Linked DNA regions of Drosophila melanogaster. The protein of the gene in region 2 interacts with the protein of the main gene of each other region in a pairwise test. Each region holds a gene or a part of one and is shown on either strand. Other genes may lie near its edges.

The links. Proteins that work in one complex are often made in the same cells at the same time.
Region 1: the proteins of CG13113 (region 2) and Ntf-2 interact in a two-hybrid assay, tested with the Drosophila melanogaster proteins (one large-scale study listed by BioGRID).

The regions. Positions count from the first base shown.
Region 1 is NC_004354.4:21,031,168-21,041,468, reverse strand, and holds Ntf-2 (nuclear transport factor-2), read right to left. Parts: upstream 6,001-10,301; 5' UTR 5,856-6,000; coding exon 5,748-5,855; intron 5,639-5,747; exon of another isoform or gene 5,379-5,638; intron 5,071-5,378; coding exon 4,999-5,070; intron 4,931-4,998; coding exon 4,832-4,930; intron 3,860-4,831; coding exon of another isoform or gene 3,749-3,859; exon of another isoform or gene 3,475-3,748; intron 2,724-3,474; coding exon 2,610-2,723; 3' UTR 1,754-2,609; coding exon of another isoform or gene 1,536-1,753; 3' UTR 1,523-1,535; intron 1,455-1,522; 3' UTR 1,434-1,454; coding exon of another isoform or gene 1,310-1,433; 3' UTR 1,085-1,309; coding exon of another isoform or gene 1,031-1,084; 3' UTR 2-1,030; downstream 1-1. Other genes in the region: CG15449 (uncharacterized protein), read left to right, coding at 1,031-1,084, 1,310-1,433, 1,536-1,753; CG1529 (uncharacterized protein), read left to right, coding at 9,610-9,882, 9,947-10,301.
Region 2 is NT_033779.5:9,541,104-9,547,175, reverse strand, and holds CG13113 (uncharacterized protein), read right to left. Parts: upstream 3,006-6,072; 5' UTR 3,002-3,005; coding exon 2,384-3,001; 3' UTR 2,301-2,383; downstream 1-2,300. Other genes in the region: CG13114 (uncharacterized protein), read right to left, coding at 1-1,159; Cpr30B (cuticular protein 30B), read right to left, coding at 3,698-4,147, 4,218-4,229; CG17855 (uncharacterized protein), read right to left, coding at 5,429-5,542, 5,601-5,858, 5,913-6,058.

The DNA of each region.
Region 1 (10,301 bases), on a different chromosome or scaffold from region 2:
ACAGGCCGGGTCGGAAATGTAATTACTAATCTAATTTTATATAAACTATATAATTTAGCTGAACTAGGAGCGAGCGGAATGGGATTTGCAGTTTAACGTTCGTAAAAAATACAGGAAAAATAAATAGAAATAAAATACATTTTATTAAAACAGGACGACTGTAGTCGTCCAAGCTAGTGGTAGCTAAGTTACTATAGGTGAAGGGTATATAAAATTCGGCTTACTTTTTATGTTGCTCTAAGCTTTTAATTGCACTTAAAAAGTACAGTACTTGTAATATATTAAAAAATATATTCCATGCATTACAAATCCACTTTTATATCTGAAAAGCGTTGCAACACAACCTTACAACCTAATAATTCCCATGAAGTCCATAAGATTATTCATGATTTGAGGAAGTGATTTCCCCGGCGATATGTTTTCCATTATCCACTTGATTACCATCGGAAAATTGGCGACCCGTTGGCCCCGATTCCGCGAATTAGCTCCGATCTTGGGCCCCGAAGGTTAGGCAGCAAATTTGGGGTAATGGCAATGCGAGCACAATGAGTCCGAGTCCATTGGGCGGCTGCCCACTGTCCACTGGCCACCCACCGGCACAGAGCATGCATGCAGATACAGACATTATGCTCCACTCAATCAAGCTGGAAGGGATGGGGCTCGAGTGCAGCTGGCAGCGGAGAACGCAGACGGTCTCCACTTCAGAGATGGAACCGAGAGGCCCGGCGGACGTGGTGGACGTGGGCGGATACACAGGGATGGGAACAAGAATGAAAAGCCTATTTCCTAAGTGTAATTAATTAATTTCGCTGGCTGGGCCCGACTGCGCCCAACTGCAAACTGCAGCCGCATTTGCCTGCCATCCGTCATCCATTTCCGAATCAGAATCAGTTTGTCCAGCGCTCTGCCGTCGCGAGCACGCTCCAAAGAGGCCAATCGGAAGAACTTTGGAACTTTCTTGAGTTGCGACACGTACATTTTCAAGCTGGACCACATTTTCGAGGACTGTCAGCGGCAGCAGTTTCACAAAATGTCTCATGGCGAGCGAAAAGGCCGCCTCAATGTGGTCAAGTTTCTCGAACTGGTAAAGGATTTTTTTTTCAAGTGATTTTACTGCAAGTTCTAAGGATTAATGAATTAATGCAAAAAGCAACGCGTATGCTTACTAAACAATGGTTTGTCAAAAAAAAAAAAAAAAAAAAAAAAAACGACTTGGGAATTAAAAGAAAAGACCCGAAATACCAGATAGACTCGGAAATTATAAGAACACCAAGAAGCACCACAAATGAAAATCCCCTCACTTTTCCAGGGTTTTGCGGTAGCGTGTCTGGTGCTCCACTTCTACAGCTTCAACGATCGCGATATAATGACTTCGTTCCTGGCCACTGGCACCTTCACGGGCTACATCATAGTGGTCATCGGGGTCTTTGCAGGTACGCCTTGGAATGCCAGTCCTTAAGAGTTAAAATACTAAAATAAGTTAACCAAAAACGAAATTTGCACACAAATCTACTTAAGATACCTTGCAATTGCAGGCGTTCTGATGCGGGCACCCATTCACAAGCGCATCGATATATTCTTCAGCGTCCTGGGCTGCACCTTGTTCGTGGCCAGCGGTGTGTTCATCATTGAGGCCTGGGAGTTCTCCTTCCGCACCCGAACTCGGGATCTCGCGCTCATCAAGGCCTCGCTGTCCATCGTCAATGGGGTGCTATTCGGATTCGATGCGGTGTTCACATTTCGCGACAAGTGAATCGTTCAGTTTTTAGACGGAAACCACTGGCCAGATCCGCTGGAGCTTCTTTCGTATGCATTTAATAGCTTATAAGGGTATACATATCTTTCCGGTTCAACTGGCCATTCCGCCAATCATACAAACAACCAAACTGTTAACGTTTATCTTTATATTTAAGTGTTTTTTTTTTCTCTCAATAAAAAGTAATTCGCCATCGCTCAATTAGTCATATGAGAAAGCAAGAGTCGATACTTGCGACTGTGTGTGGTGCAGTCCCGGTACTCAAGTAATTGTTTACAGAGCGAGACACTCGACACAATACATTTGCAATACGGCTATCTAAAATAATCCTCATAATTAAAGTACAAATAATTCAATTGGAAATATAAACGGTCTAGAAAATCACTCTAAACTTATGTAGGCGATGATCCCGGCCTGCTGTTCCTGCTCATTTCACGGGAATTCGAAATACGAGCTTGTAGCACGGCACATACCACCAAATTCGATAGTCCTAGCTAAATTAGATCGCGAGATCCAGGTGTTCGCAGAACATATAATTCTAGGGTTCCGTGGATCGTAAAGCGAGAGTACCGGCAACAATGGGACACAAATGAAGGTGAGCTGGCGGCCCATTTTGTTGACATCGTAATAGTAGTTAGCGTTATTTTCTTATTTTTTTATTGTTTTTTTTTTTTTTTTCTTTTTCTAACTTTTGTATTTGCTGATAATCGTGAGACCGCTGGCTGGCTTTGTTATATTTTTTTTTTCTGAGTTCCACTGCCGAGCTTGTTGTTATCATCTGGCGCTGGGCATCTTTGGATGTCGATTATGTGTGGTGCTGAGTGGTGTGCATACGTAGGTAAGTGGAGTGCTCCTAGGCAGAGTTGTGGATGTTGAGACGGAAGATGTCGTGGGCCACAAAGAAGGTGCCTGCGTTGGCCTTCAGGAAAAAGACCTGCGAGAAGGCATGTGGGGGATCGTCATCGCACTGCAAAGGAATGAAATCATAAATACGTTAGCAGATGCCAGGCAAACCAGTCACATTTAAAGTCAATAACACAAGCGTGCGAAAAACCAATTTCAACGTATTGAGTTAGATATGAATGGAGTACACACAGTTTGAAGCCAGGGTCAGAGGGAAAGGGTGTACAACTGGCAGCCGATTGATCGTGTAAGGTGCGTGTTTACTGTACAGGGCTCGCTCGATAAATTGAACATAACTCCAAAACATTTTCACGAGCAGAATAAACTTTATACCAAATGTGCGAGCAAAATTATTATTCACTGATATAAGAACTTCTCAAAACTTTCCTCAGTTCCATTCAAAATTGAACAACATTTGAAAGTTTTTTTTTTAAGGCATATTAGGGTGCGCTTAACAATTTGGGATATTTACAGTTCTCTTCTTCGAGCTATTGAACAAAACAATATGCAAGTTAAGACTAGTCAATTGGTATTTGGTTTTGTAACAAATGAAAAACAGAATTTTTATAAGTGCAATATCAATTGAAAGCATCTAAAAATATAATATAAATATAAACCGTTTAGTTAAAAATGTAAAGCAATAGAGGTTACAGAAATTGTTTGTGTTACATTAAAATTGCATTATTAGGAGGTTCCAGGTCCCCAGCGACCAACCGAAAGAAAGAGCAAATCCAACTCAAAATCAACGAAAACCATGCACGAAATGAAATGCGCAACATTTTGATTTGATTAATTTTCGTTGGACATTCACGTACTGTGAGAATAATTAGAAGAAATTGGACGACGACGAGACGCCAAGGATAAATATTTTTGTATATGTGGGCGGAGTGGGCATGGCTGGGCGGCATAAGGTCGACAAGCAGCAGAACTATCTTATCGCTTAGATATGGATTTCTTTCGTTTTTTAACTGGCTCTCGTCTCGTGTCTGCTGGCTGATCGTTTGGCTGCTGATCTCGATCTCGATTTACACACATATAGCCGGGCGCTGGAGTCTGTGGACTGGGCGTGGCAGGTCGGGCTCGCTGGTGCTACACATCGTGCAGCGAGAGTCGGAATATATCGTGCTGCACAAAGAAACTGCCGCCCACCGGCTTCAATACGAAGGTCTGAATATAGGCATGCGGCTGATCCTCGTCGGTCTGCATTGGTTTGTTTTGGCATTTGTGTTTCGTTTTGTAATAACCAGAATTGAGATATTCGATTCAGATTCAGGTGACTTATATGGAATAATAGATGCAGCGGCGGTCGGCAAATAGCACTGCCCTTACGACTTTACGGAAGAATGATGAATGATTTCATATCTTAAGTGATGGGCGATTGAAATTTGCTTCTACGTCTCTACATATATCCACTTTGAACAATAAGGTATCGTAAAATACATTGAGGCAGTTACTCTTTTTAAAATTCATTTCATTTATCTACCTACTATAACTGCATCAATAAGTCAATGGATATTATATTCAAAACAAGAGAGAATGCTATGGTCGACTTTTCCGACTGGAAGTGAGAACGCGAAATTTCATATTGAACAATATGAGTGGGCGTGGCAACATGGATCAACAAACTTGCGCTGCGTCGGTGTCTCTAGGATCGGTCTGCTTAATATCAACCTTCTAGCTTTTATAGTTCCTGAGATCTCGACGTTCATATGGAGAGGGCCAGATCGACTCGGCTATTGATCCTGATCAAGAATATATATACTACATTTTGTCGAAAACGATTGCTTCTACATGTTACATACTTTTTAACGAATATAGTATACTCTTTAACTGCACTAGTAACGGGTATAATGTATCTTAGAATGAAGAACACTTAATGGAATAAAGTGGCAGGCTTAATAAAGCCCATACATGATAACAAATAAATGGGAAACAGTGCAAAATAAATAATGTTCTTATGTGAAAGCCAAAACAAAACGTTCTATTTGTTACAAAAACGATTGTCAAGCATTTACGTGTTGAAAAGACCAAAAATAAAATTCAAAACTTGAAAAGAAAATCGATTGAATTGGTCGGCAGTGCTAATATTCTAACCGCCGCCGCAGGCAGTCATTGAATTTCCCCCCGACAGCGAGTTTAGGACAGTTTTCTTGTTGAGAATTCTGGTTTTACCTGTAGTCTTCCAAGGACGTTGATCAGAACTCCGCCATCGAAAGTTGGCTGCGAGTCCACTGTGGTTATCACTCTGGTAATCTTCTGAAAGCTCAGACTCTGCAGGAATAGGAAGGGTATGCAAAATATTATACATATGCCCATGACTGTATATAATCAGGACTTACCTGAACTTTTTCCAGAATCTTGGGTGCCCCCTGTATTTGGTGGCCTTCAAAGGTCATGAATGAGTCGGTAGCCTGGAAGTATAAAATATATAATGATATAAGTGTTATGATGATGTTTTACTTAGTAATGATATTTCGTATTATTAAGAACAAAATTGGTTATAAAACTGTTAATATTTAAATTAAAAACATATCAAACAGATAGTTTTATTTTCAATACTTTATCATTATAGACTTTTTTATTCTTTCATTTACTCTTTTATGTGACAAAAAAACTGAATTGATTGAAACTAATGAAACACAATTATGCCATATTTTTCAAGATATTAATACAATTTTTTCACGAATTTATATCGTATATTGGGCCCTATTGTGCTAACCGCAGTTGTATGTTGGCCATATATTTCGTATGTGTGTATTTATTTATGCGAGCATGGGCGTAATGTGTCACCCGAAACTTCGAGAATCGAACGCTGCCCCCGCCCCTATCAACATTCATCCTATTCCCACGATATCACGGATACGCCGACCGTATATCTCCAGCTGCTCTTTTTCGCGCTCTTTTTCGCATTGCAACAGTTTCTTTATTCATTTTCTGCTGAAAGGAGGCGGAATTTTTCAAGGGCGCGCCGCGCGTCACCTGTGCGTGTGATGGGGATGGCAAGCGAAAAATGTGCAGGCGAAAGCGGAGACGGGAATAAAGGAGAGATGAAAGGCGACGAGCAGAAGCGGGAAGCAACAACACTTACGCTATAGAAATTAACCACGTTCGCCCGATTCGCCGGGTCATCGAATATCGCATAGTACTGCTGCACAAATCCCTTGCCAATGTCCTCGTACTGCGGATTCAGCGACATTTCACTTGAAGGATAGGCGGAACGCTCAGAGATTATGGGAAATCCGATCCGATCGCGGCGACACGAATAATTAAAAAAAAAACCAAATGAAATCAACCGACTGCGCTCAGATCACCACTCTTTGTTAGGGGTGGAACAACGTCGATTTTGTCAGACACTATCGCTGACTGCTATTTCGCAACTATCGATTACGATACCCAGGGCTACAGCCCGATGTCCTAATAACGAAATCGGAATTGGAATTTGAAATATGATTCGATGATGATAGGGTCACATAAATGTAAGAACAAATTATTGCATTTCTGTCAGGCGTAATACTTGGTCATTTGGAAAACAATTATTTGTGTTTCATATATTATTTTTTTTCCTCGCTCGGGACGACTTTTCTTTGATTTGTTGTTTAATTGCAGGTCATACTTAAGCTAACGCAACTTACAATCCATTGTAAGGTATCTAAAGTTGATTTTTAGATCCGTTTATTCATAATGTGGAATCGCTTGTATTTTCACAATTTTCAGACGGGAGGGATAAACCAGATATTGAAAGGATGATGTTTTCTTCACATTCGGAAAAGCATATATCCACCCCAATTTATTACTAAAATTAAATATTCATTGCCATTTGAAATGATATTAATATAATATTAATAATAATTTTATTTTCGATATACAAGTTTATAGAATTTATTAAAGCTAGTAAGCTGGATTGGTAACGATATCGATAAGAGTGACCGATCTGGTCACACCGGCAGTGCGTATGCATCGCAGCAGGAAAATTTGCGTTTGGCGCGCACAATTCGTGGCAATGCTCACCACATTTACGGACATCGCGCGCCTGCGCAGGAGTTGCCTCCATCACAACACACACCTATGTTTGGTTCGCAGGATTAGGTTTTTTTTAAATTCGTTTATTTGACATATTACATTTAGCTAAGAACAAAAATAAAAAACAGAAAAACAGTTGGATGGCATATTCAGTATGTGTCGCACGTTTCAAGGCACCTTTGAGCAGCATTATTACCGTCTTGCTGGTCGAGTCGGCAACGCCAACTTCAGCTCCTTGGAGTGCAGGGCGTTGGACATCACCGTGCGATCTTTGGTTTGACACCGTCTTTGCCCTTACTCGGTTCTTCATAGCTAAAGAGGCCATTAGGGATGGTCTGTTGGCTAGCATCAGTTCTTGCGGTGCATTTGGCATGCGAATTCTCCTCCTCCGGCAGCCTCACGCGCAGCTTTAGTTGGAGATCCTTCAATCTGGCAAATGTGTTCTTCATTGCCAGATTAATGCTCCTCACCCCGTTGTATAATATATCTCCCATCTCCTCGATTTCTAGAAAAGGGGGCCTTGCTGGTTGGGCTCTGTTTGGGGGGGAGGTCACTTATAATGGCCCCTTGGGGGTGCCATCGTTTGGCTTATAGGGTGGGGTCCTTAGAACCTTGGACTGCAAGGTGTGCGGCCCTATACCATTCGCCAGGTGATGGTTACGGTGCTGGCCGATGAGGCTCAGACACAAACCATTCCGCCGGCCACCTTGGCTCAGACGCAAAATGGGTTTTTATTATGCTGCTGCCCGGCTGGTCAAGAGAGCAAGCGCAGCGTCATGGACTTAAGGGTTGGGTGTGAAGGGTGAAGTTCCGACGGGGGACTCATAAGCGGAGGGGTTGGCTATTGGTCTGCTCCGTGATTTTTACACTATTACTGTGTGTTAGAGACAGTCACTCCTGTCTCTATTTAGCTGCCGCGACACGGAAAATTTTCGGGTTTTCCAGGAGCGTTAACTCGATTCGCCCGGCTACTCGCGCGCGTCCCCAGTGCTCTGATTACACAGGATTAGGTTTTTTTTTTTTTAATTCGTCTATTGAACATTTAAGATTAAGATTAACAGATTAACAATGTAAAAGTAAGGAGGGCAAATCCAGGACCCCCCGCGGTATGGCCGTGAAGCATTGCTTCGCGAGGACGATCAGGATTTGCAATGCAAAACAAGATTTTTTCGCATGGTGCCAATTGATCAAAAATAATATAGATTTAAAGTCTAAGAACTTCTGAGGTGAAGGGCATATTTTGTCAAATTTACAATGCATGAACATACGTGTGCACACATACAGTTGTCTGCTATTCGCTGTAGCGCTCTCCGCTCTCTCGCTCTCTAACAAAAATTCGAGAGAGCCTGGAGCCACCTCTAGAGCCACGGCCAAAAAATCGTGTGCCAAAAAATCGTATGGCGTTACGCATCTTGTTATTCTAGTGTCTTTGCATAAACCAAATCATAGAATGCCTTAGGATATAAGTCATAAATTCAAGTATCCCATAAGAACCCCAATTCTGGTGACAATAAAAAATCCAGCCTGCCCTAATGTAAACATTAACATCCGCTGCCGAATTCGCTATTCCCACCAAAGGGTCAAAACCGCTAACGCAGCTGAAGTTCTCGGCTGATCAGTACCCATGCGCGATCCACTCAAGAGGGCACCCAATCCACCAGACATAAACATCCGCAGCCGCATTCACGACTCCCACCAAAGGGTCAAAACCGCTTACGAAGCTCAAATCCTTGGCTTATCCCAGCATCCATGCACGATCCACTCAATTCATAGAAATACATAAGAGGAGCCCTCTTTAGCTTAACACATAAAGAAGTAAATTTCAGTCAAGGGTTTGCTAAGCATTCGCTTTGCAACTTACAATTAAATTTAATTCTTTCACTCTACGAATAAGACCTGAATTGTCTCCGCTTCCACACTTTTAATTTTATTTGAATAAATTACAATTCCAATAAATTAATATCATATATATTTTTATATTGTTTTGAAATTCTTACTCGTTTGCCTCTGACTAGGATATTTTCCACATGAACCGCGGTTAACGACCAAAATGGGCAATTCAGGATGACAACTGTTTGTAATTTTTGGTATATTTATATTTATATTTATTTATATTGGGTGATGACTGTAAAATCCTCAGGGCATCCTAGGTTGGGTGGGTGCGCATGTATGTTCATTTGCAATTAATGCTTTTGATTACCTTTTTTTGTTCCTTTGATTATTTGAGATCTTAGGTGTGCAGAGTGGTGAGACGTCGATAGTTATCGATATTTCTATTGCGAGCTGTGTGGTAAGCCTGAGCTAGAGGCACTGCAATAACGAAGGATAAGCAGTTCGTAACAAATTATTGCATTACTGTCAGCCGTAATACTTGGTCATATTTGGAAAACAATTATTTGTTTTTCATATATTATATATATATATATATATATTATTATATTATTATTTTTAGATTTGTTGTTTAATTCACGTTAAGAATCCGTTTTAAGGTCTCTAAAGTTGCTTTTCGATCCGTTCATTTAAATTGTGTAATTTTCAGGCGGGTTTTATTTATAAATAGAGAGGGACCAGATATTGAAAGGATGAAATAAACTGTAATACCGGAAACATCTTACTAGATGCATTCTTCGCATTGGGAAATGTTAATATCCACCCTAATTTATGACTAAGATTAAAAATGCATTGCGATTTCTAATAATATTAATGTAGTATTAATATTTTCGATATACAAGCTTATAGAATTTTTTAAAGCCTATAAGCTGGATTGGTAACGATATCGATAAGAGTGATCGATCAACGGCAGCGCAACAGGTGTCGCCCTCTGGTAACACTGGCGGTGCGTGTGCATCACAGCAGGAAAATTTAAGAGGCGGAAAAAAGAACTGGATTTCCACGTAGAACGTTGCCTTTAACGCGCACGATTCGTGGCGATGTTCACCACATTTACGGACCTCGCGCGCCTGTGCAGGATTTGCCTGCGTCATCTGCGCGACCGCGACACCCACTGTCCCGATCCGCGACTCATCGCGATTCTGCAAAAGTTGCTGGACATCGACATATTGAAGCAGCCGCATGGATTTCCCACTGAGATCTGCAACCTGTGCCACAACGCGGTGGTCTACTTTGACGAGCTGCGCCAAGTGGCAAGGGAATCCAGCCAGAAGCTTATCGGATGGCAGCCAGTGGACATCGCGGTCGACAGGGTGGATATATATGTCCTTTTCGGCTTGTTAAACCTGGATTAATACTTTCTTAGTTCTTTCCTAGGTGAAGGAGGAGCCGCCGGACGAAGGACTCAAGGAAAACCATGAGGAAAATGAGCATGAACTGGAGGAAGAGCATGAAAAGCAGGCGGATGGGCAGCAGGTAGATCTGTCGAAGAAGCAGGAGGATCAGAAGAAGATTCTTGACGACCGGGAGGATGAGGAGTATCCAGATGAGTACGAGAACAGCCAGCAACAGCTTAGCCAAGGCACTGGTAGTAAACGACGCGCTGGCTTGGCCTGCGATCAGTGCGGCAAGCAGGTGTACAAGCTACCGTACTTGGAGGCCCACATCCGCAGCGTCCATCAGGGCTACTCGAAACCCTTCTTGTGCCGCAGCTGCGACAAGTCCTTCACTC
Region 2 (6,072 bases):
TGATCTCCGGTTGGGGTACGGGATAGGCTTCCGTACGCGGTTGATAGGACTCAGTTTGGCTGGGATATGACTCTGTGATGCTGGGGTAGGAGTCCTTTTGGCTGGGATAGGATTCCGTGGGACTTGGATATATGGGTGTGTGGCTGGGATACGACTCCGTTTGGCTCTGCACAACGGGATAGACTTCCGTCTGGGGCGCCGAGTATTCCTTGGGTGCTTCAACAATAGGATACGATGTGGATCTCTCATAAATGGGAGACGGTGTGGCCACCACAATCTTCTCCTCGTAGGGAGTCTTTATCTTGGCCACCGACACGCCCGATGATGATGATGAAACCGCTGAGGCGGCATACTTAATGCTGGAGGAGATTTTGGGTGCCGGCGCCACTTTGCTCACGAGTGGAACCACTTGCTTTTTGTAGCTTGGAACCGGGGAATAGAAAACGGAGGGAGCTGGCTGAAGCTGAATACGTGGCGGAGTTGGCACACTAGCTGGGTAGCCCTTCTTGGTGCCATACGCAGTGCTAAGCAATTGGGCCAACTCCTCCAGCGTGTAATTAGGAGCAGCTATGCTGGCCACCGCTGGTGAGGAAGCCACCGAGGGAATGGAAGCCGGTGAAGCAGCTGATGCCGCCTGTTCGTAGACCAATGGATATGGCTTATAGGCCTTGGGTCCGCCCACTGGTCCTACCAATCCCCCATAGGATTCGCCTCCGTACTTGGGAAAGTATTTGCGCTGATGGACATGCGTGTACTCCACCTGGCCACCTGGGGCATACTCCCCAATGGATGAGATCTGGGTGAGCGGCTGCTTGGGCTCAGAAGAGATCACCTTGCGGCAGAACTCCTTGCAGCCCAGCTTGCATTCGCAGTAGCACTTCTTGTACTCCGATGGCTGTGTAGTGTAATCCGTGGGCGTGGGTGGGGCACTGGTTGTTGTTGGGTAAATAGGTCCCGGGCTGGTGGCGCTGGTTGTGGGCGGGCTCAACGTAGAGCCTCCGGTTGTTGTTGGCGCTACCGTTGTGGGCACCTCGCTGCACGGCACCTGTTCCCACACCTCCTGTTCACATTCCGCACAATATTCCGGGAAATGGGCTTGGGTCAATAGTGCCGATGCCATCAGCATGGTCATAAATAATAAATTGCAGCGTTCGAACATCTGAAGGGGGGAGAATATTGAATTTAGAATGGGTCAGAGAATTGCGCCGGAATCGTTCCCAATCGATTGACCCCGTTACCCTACCTTTCAACTGAATTTCTCCCTCGCTCGCTCGATCACTTTCCCCACAATTGCTGGAATTTCTGTCCCGGATCGCCGATGGATGGCACTTGTTGGCTGTTGGTCGGTCGCGTGCGAAACTCTTTCATGCATTTTGCTGAATAGCTCTTAAATACGCTGCGCTGGCCGAGAGCTTCTTCTTCTCGTTCTTACAACGCCGAGCAAATGGGTCGCGGAAGCGTTGACCGCATCACGTTCCAAACGCCCCAAACGGCTCGGAATGGGGCGTGGTTGTCCGGAATGGGTCCGGAATGGGTAAAGACAATCGCCAGATGCCGCCGCTTCCGTAATACACATTCAAGCATTTCTGCCCGCACTCGTCGATAGCTTGGAGTGCTCGCGACAAGAGTTGTTTAATCAAAAACATATAGCAAACATATTTATGTATGACCTTTGGCATGACAATAACCTTTAAGAGAAAGACGAACTTCATAATGCATTTTTTTTAGGCAGTTTCTCATTAGCCAGAATAAACAATCCTCCTGAAATCTTTAATTTTATAAATAGCCAAAACCATTCCGACCGCAATGATCATTTTTTCGGTTCTGCACAAAATTTCCAGCTGCTTGGGGGATTTATAATTTCTGGGTCTCGGCCTAGATCTGATATTAACGTCTGGGGTCGATTGACTTATCAATTTTTGGTTGTAATTCTTTGTGGAACTCAAGGTCTACACGTACACTATGGATAATGGTATTTTTGTAAGCGATATTGCTCAATACCTAAATTATCTTCCTACAAATTGAGTACAAAAGCTTTACTGATTTAAATAATAGTATCTTGACCATTTAACATTTTGTCTAGCTCATTATTTAAACAACATTTTGGGAAAACTCTGCTTAAAATTGGGGGCACTCTTAATCTTTTTTGTTTTAACAAAAATAAGCAACATCACTATTTTCATTATTGCGAGTAAAAGTCATAACAATTTTAGCCTTACAAAGAAAAATAGCAAAAAACTCCGATTTATTTAAAGTAGTCCTTTAAAAAAGTACTTTATTTTTTTTACTTTTATACTTTTAGTATTTATTCATTGTCCGAATCACCAGAGATCACTTAAAATCAAAGCCATTTGCACATTTGGATGAGGTGACTTATTTATGATTAATTTAGATTTGCTACACGACTTTGGAAGGGTAAGCCGGGGTAAACCTGAATATCAGGGAAGAAACTTTGATCATCCCGCACATCAGTTTCCATGGTTTCCTTGTGGTCACGTCTTTTTTCGATGGAGCTGCGCTTCCTTAGTTTCTCCCAGCGATTTTGTTTTAGTTGTGTCTTCGGTTTAACTGGCACTTGAATTTGAGATGGTTTTTTAGATTGACCCGGATCGGAAGTCTCGCGAACCGTTTCCGTGCGACTTGCCATTTCCACATCAATGGTGTCAGCTTTACTACGACCACTGGTAAGTCGCCTCAGCATCTCCTGATAATGCGGTTGATCCGCAGTTATGTATTCCGGTTCGTCTTCGGGATTGAGAATCTGGTAGTTGGGGGTGCCCAGTTCGAAGGTGGTGAATTCACCATGCTCCACTTTGTTCTTCAGATGCTGCGGCGTATACCCATACTGCTTAAGTGGAGCCATCCACTTGGCATCCGCATCCGCAACTGTATCCTTTGAGCTTCCCCCCAGGCAGAAGCCAAGGGTCAATAGCAATGTGACCAGTAGTTGTCGTGTCTCCGGGCAGCCGACCATTTTCGCACTGATGCTCCATGGATGCATTGGTCAGAGCGTTAGCCAAATCCAATAGAATCGCCATCGACGACGTCGACTGCGCCGGTAATTGGACGCCCCCAAAGTGGCAGCAGCTACGTGAGATTAGAGGCATCTATGGGCCATGTCGCGTCTGGCGGCGATAGCATTAGTTTATGCTTATCACAGTATCGAAGCCACCTGTATCGTGACGCATCATTTTATGAGACATCAATTCGCAAATATAATGATACGAATTCACTGAAGAAGCCAAACACACAAGCGAGTTGAACTAAGTCAAGCATTTCATTCACCACTTTTTTTTTTTGGTTTTAATAATCTTTCACTTTTTTGTGTCACACTTGTGAACTGTCATAATGTGGTTTTTCTTCACTTGGCTTATATTTTTCTTAACTGATCTTCACACTTATATAAGTATGTTTGCAACACAACCACTACTCAACTACTCATTTTTTTTTTTATATCAATAAAATACCCTCACCCAGCTTTTAAGTATATTCCCTATATTAAAAAATCCAAGTTTTTGTGTTCCTCTGCGAACAGATTGAATGGGATGCATCTTTATTGTAGGTTAATGTAAGCTGTCTGTATGTACACTCAATTGTCTTAATTGTAACTAAATTATGATGTATGGCAGTGAGTTTTCCCGGGTCAAGACGGGTTTCCTAATGGGTTTATGCAGCTGAAGTCAGTCATTAGATCCTTTTAGTACTTGTACTGTGCTGTTGGTCCGGATACAGAGACATAGTTCCCGGCGGACAGCTCCTGCTTGATAATGGCCTTGGGGGCGGCGTAGTGGACGAGTGGCGCCACCGGTAGCACGGGAGTCAGGATCTTGGCGGCCAGGAGCTTCTTGGGTGGCTCAGGCAACGGTATCTTGATGTCCGTGGGCTCACGCTGGACAATTGCCTCGAAACCGTTGTGATCATCCGCCTTGTACTGCACTATGCGGCGATAGCCATCGGAATCGATCAGCTCGTAGACACCCTCGACCTTGTCGTCCTTGCGGGACTCCTTTTGGCTCTTGATGTCGCCGGTGTGGGGATCGTTCACCGACCACTGGAACTCGTAGGCCACTGGTCCGTAGTCCGGCTCCGCCTGCAATTCAATGGCCCAAACGGCGCTGGCCAGGCACAGGCACAACAAATAGGTAACCTAAAAGGAAGACACCACTCTATGCATTAGAATCCTTTGTATCGCACCCTTTTTCCTCCACTCCACTCACTTTTCCCATCATTTTGTGGTATTTTGGTCCTTTCAGAACTCTTTGGGTATTGAAATGCACTCGACAAAGATCGAAATCGAAGTAATTAATCTGGGTAGTCCTAGGCTGCTTATATACAAGCTGGCCAACTGATTACCAGGCCAGAGCTACGCTTCGATCCAACTTGGATGTGGCAATCCACCCAAGGCGTCGTGTCGCTTTGCGGCACGCGCCTCCCAAACAAGATCGCCGACCAAGTGGAGCGCGCTCATTAAGTGAGCCCCGAAAAATTATAATTAAACAAGAAATATGCAAAATGTGGTTCGCACCAGCCTGAGCCATGCACTGCAAAAAATTAGGAACCAAGTTAGGCTTCATGTCGAACGAAATAGTAACCATTCCATTCTCCTAATTCTTCTTTTCTAATGAAAACGACGTAAAACTCACTTAATATTTTTAAGAAATTTCTAAATCCACCGAATCCAAAATAAAGAAATTTAAAAAATATTTTTATTAAAACTTAAATTTATAAAATCTTGTAGTTTTTTTACCCATGACGCATTTGATTTTTCTTTTGCGACGCACATTCGATAAGCATCCAAATGAATATGCCGCAAGTGGGAGAGCTTGATGGTGATCTTAGAGGTGTCGCGCTAGTTTGTCTGGTCCAACCAACAAATGTGGAGATTAATTTACTTTGTCAATAATTTGCAACATTAGGCATTGGGCAACAAGGCCTCCGACTGCATTAAGTCATAAAAATAATTGTCATGTTTTAATGGATAGCGCACCACGTCGAATTGGAAATGGGATGGGAGGGCAGAAGTCGGGGGCTGGAACCTTCACAGCTCGGAGGCCAGATCCTTTTGGCAGGTGATCTGTCCGCAACTCGTTTGATGGCATTAGCAAATAATTTAATTAATCGCCATTAGACGAGGGGTTTCTCTGCGCGCAGTCCAAGAAACCGGGTTACTATATCGCAAAAGTTTTGATTTAACGCAGCCGCCGAGCGTGTTTGTCGAACCTTAAAAGCAAATTCTGGTATGTGCACTGGTTAGGCGTAGTTGGTTCGGAATCTGGGTTAGTCCAGCCGTCTAGTTATTGCTCTCTGTGCGTAAACTTAGTGATCAGTTTCATCAGCTTTAGTATGGCTACTTGTTATTATGATCTATTGGTTGGTTGTTTAGTTTTTGGCTGGGAGCTATGTGATAAGATTAATCCCGCCACTTATCCTAATCAACAGGCTCGCTTTCTTTCTCCAACTTGGCGCGAATTGTTCTTTGACAGCGGGATCTCAACAATTCCCGTCTTAGGGCATTGCTCTCTGTTTCCACAGTTTGTATGAGCTGAATACAAGGAACAATCAGACATATATAATTAATGAGAATTAGGATTAAAGCTTACGCTATGGGTTAAAGCAGCTCTTTCCATAGTTTCTGCGTCGGCATCATCATCCTTGGGGTCAGATTCACTGCTAGAGGAGCAGCGCCGGGCCTGCATAGCTTTATGATGCTGTCCGGGATAGTCTTCCTCATATTTGGGCGGTGGGTCGTCATCGTTGGGTAGCGAGGCCGGCAGACTGGTCGCTCCTTCTTCTGATTTTGCCTTAAAAGCGGCTAATTCGTCCCGCAAGGATTGGTTTTGCATTTCCAGTAATTCCACCTTTAAACGAATCATTTTTACTTAAGCTTGCTAATACGTTCTAAAGCGTCTTACGCTCTCAAGTTCAAAATCCATTTCGTCAATAATGTCGTATGACTCATCAAGGGCTCTTTGAAGTTTTTCTACTTTGGCCTTCAGCTCGTTCAATTCGTTGACATCGCTTTGGGCCGACTGCCTTTTCTCCATAGCCATTCGTTGCTCTAGTAGATTTTTA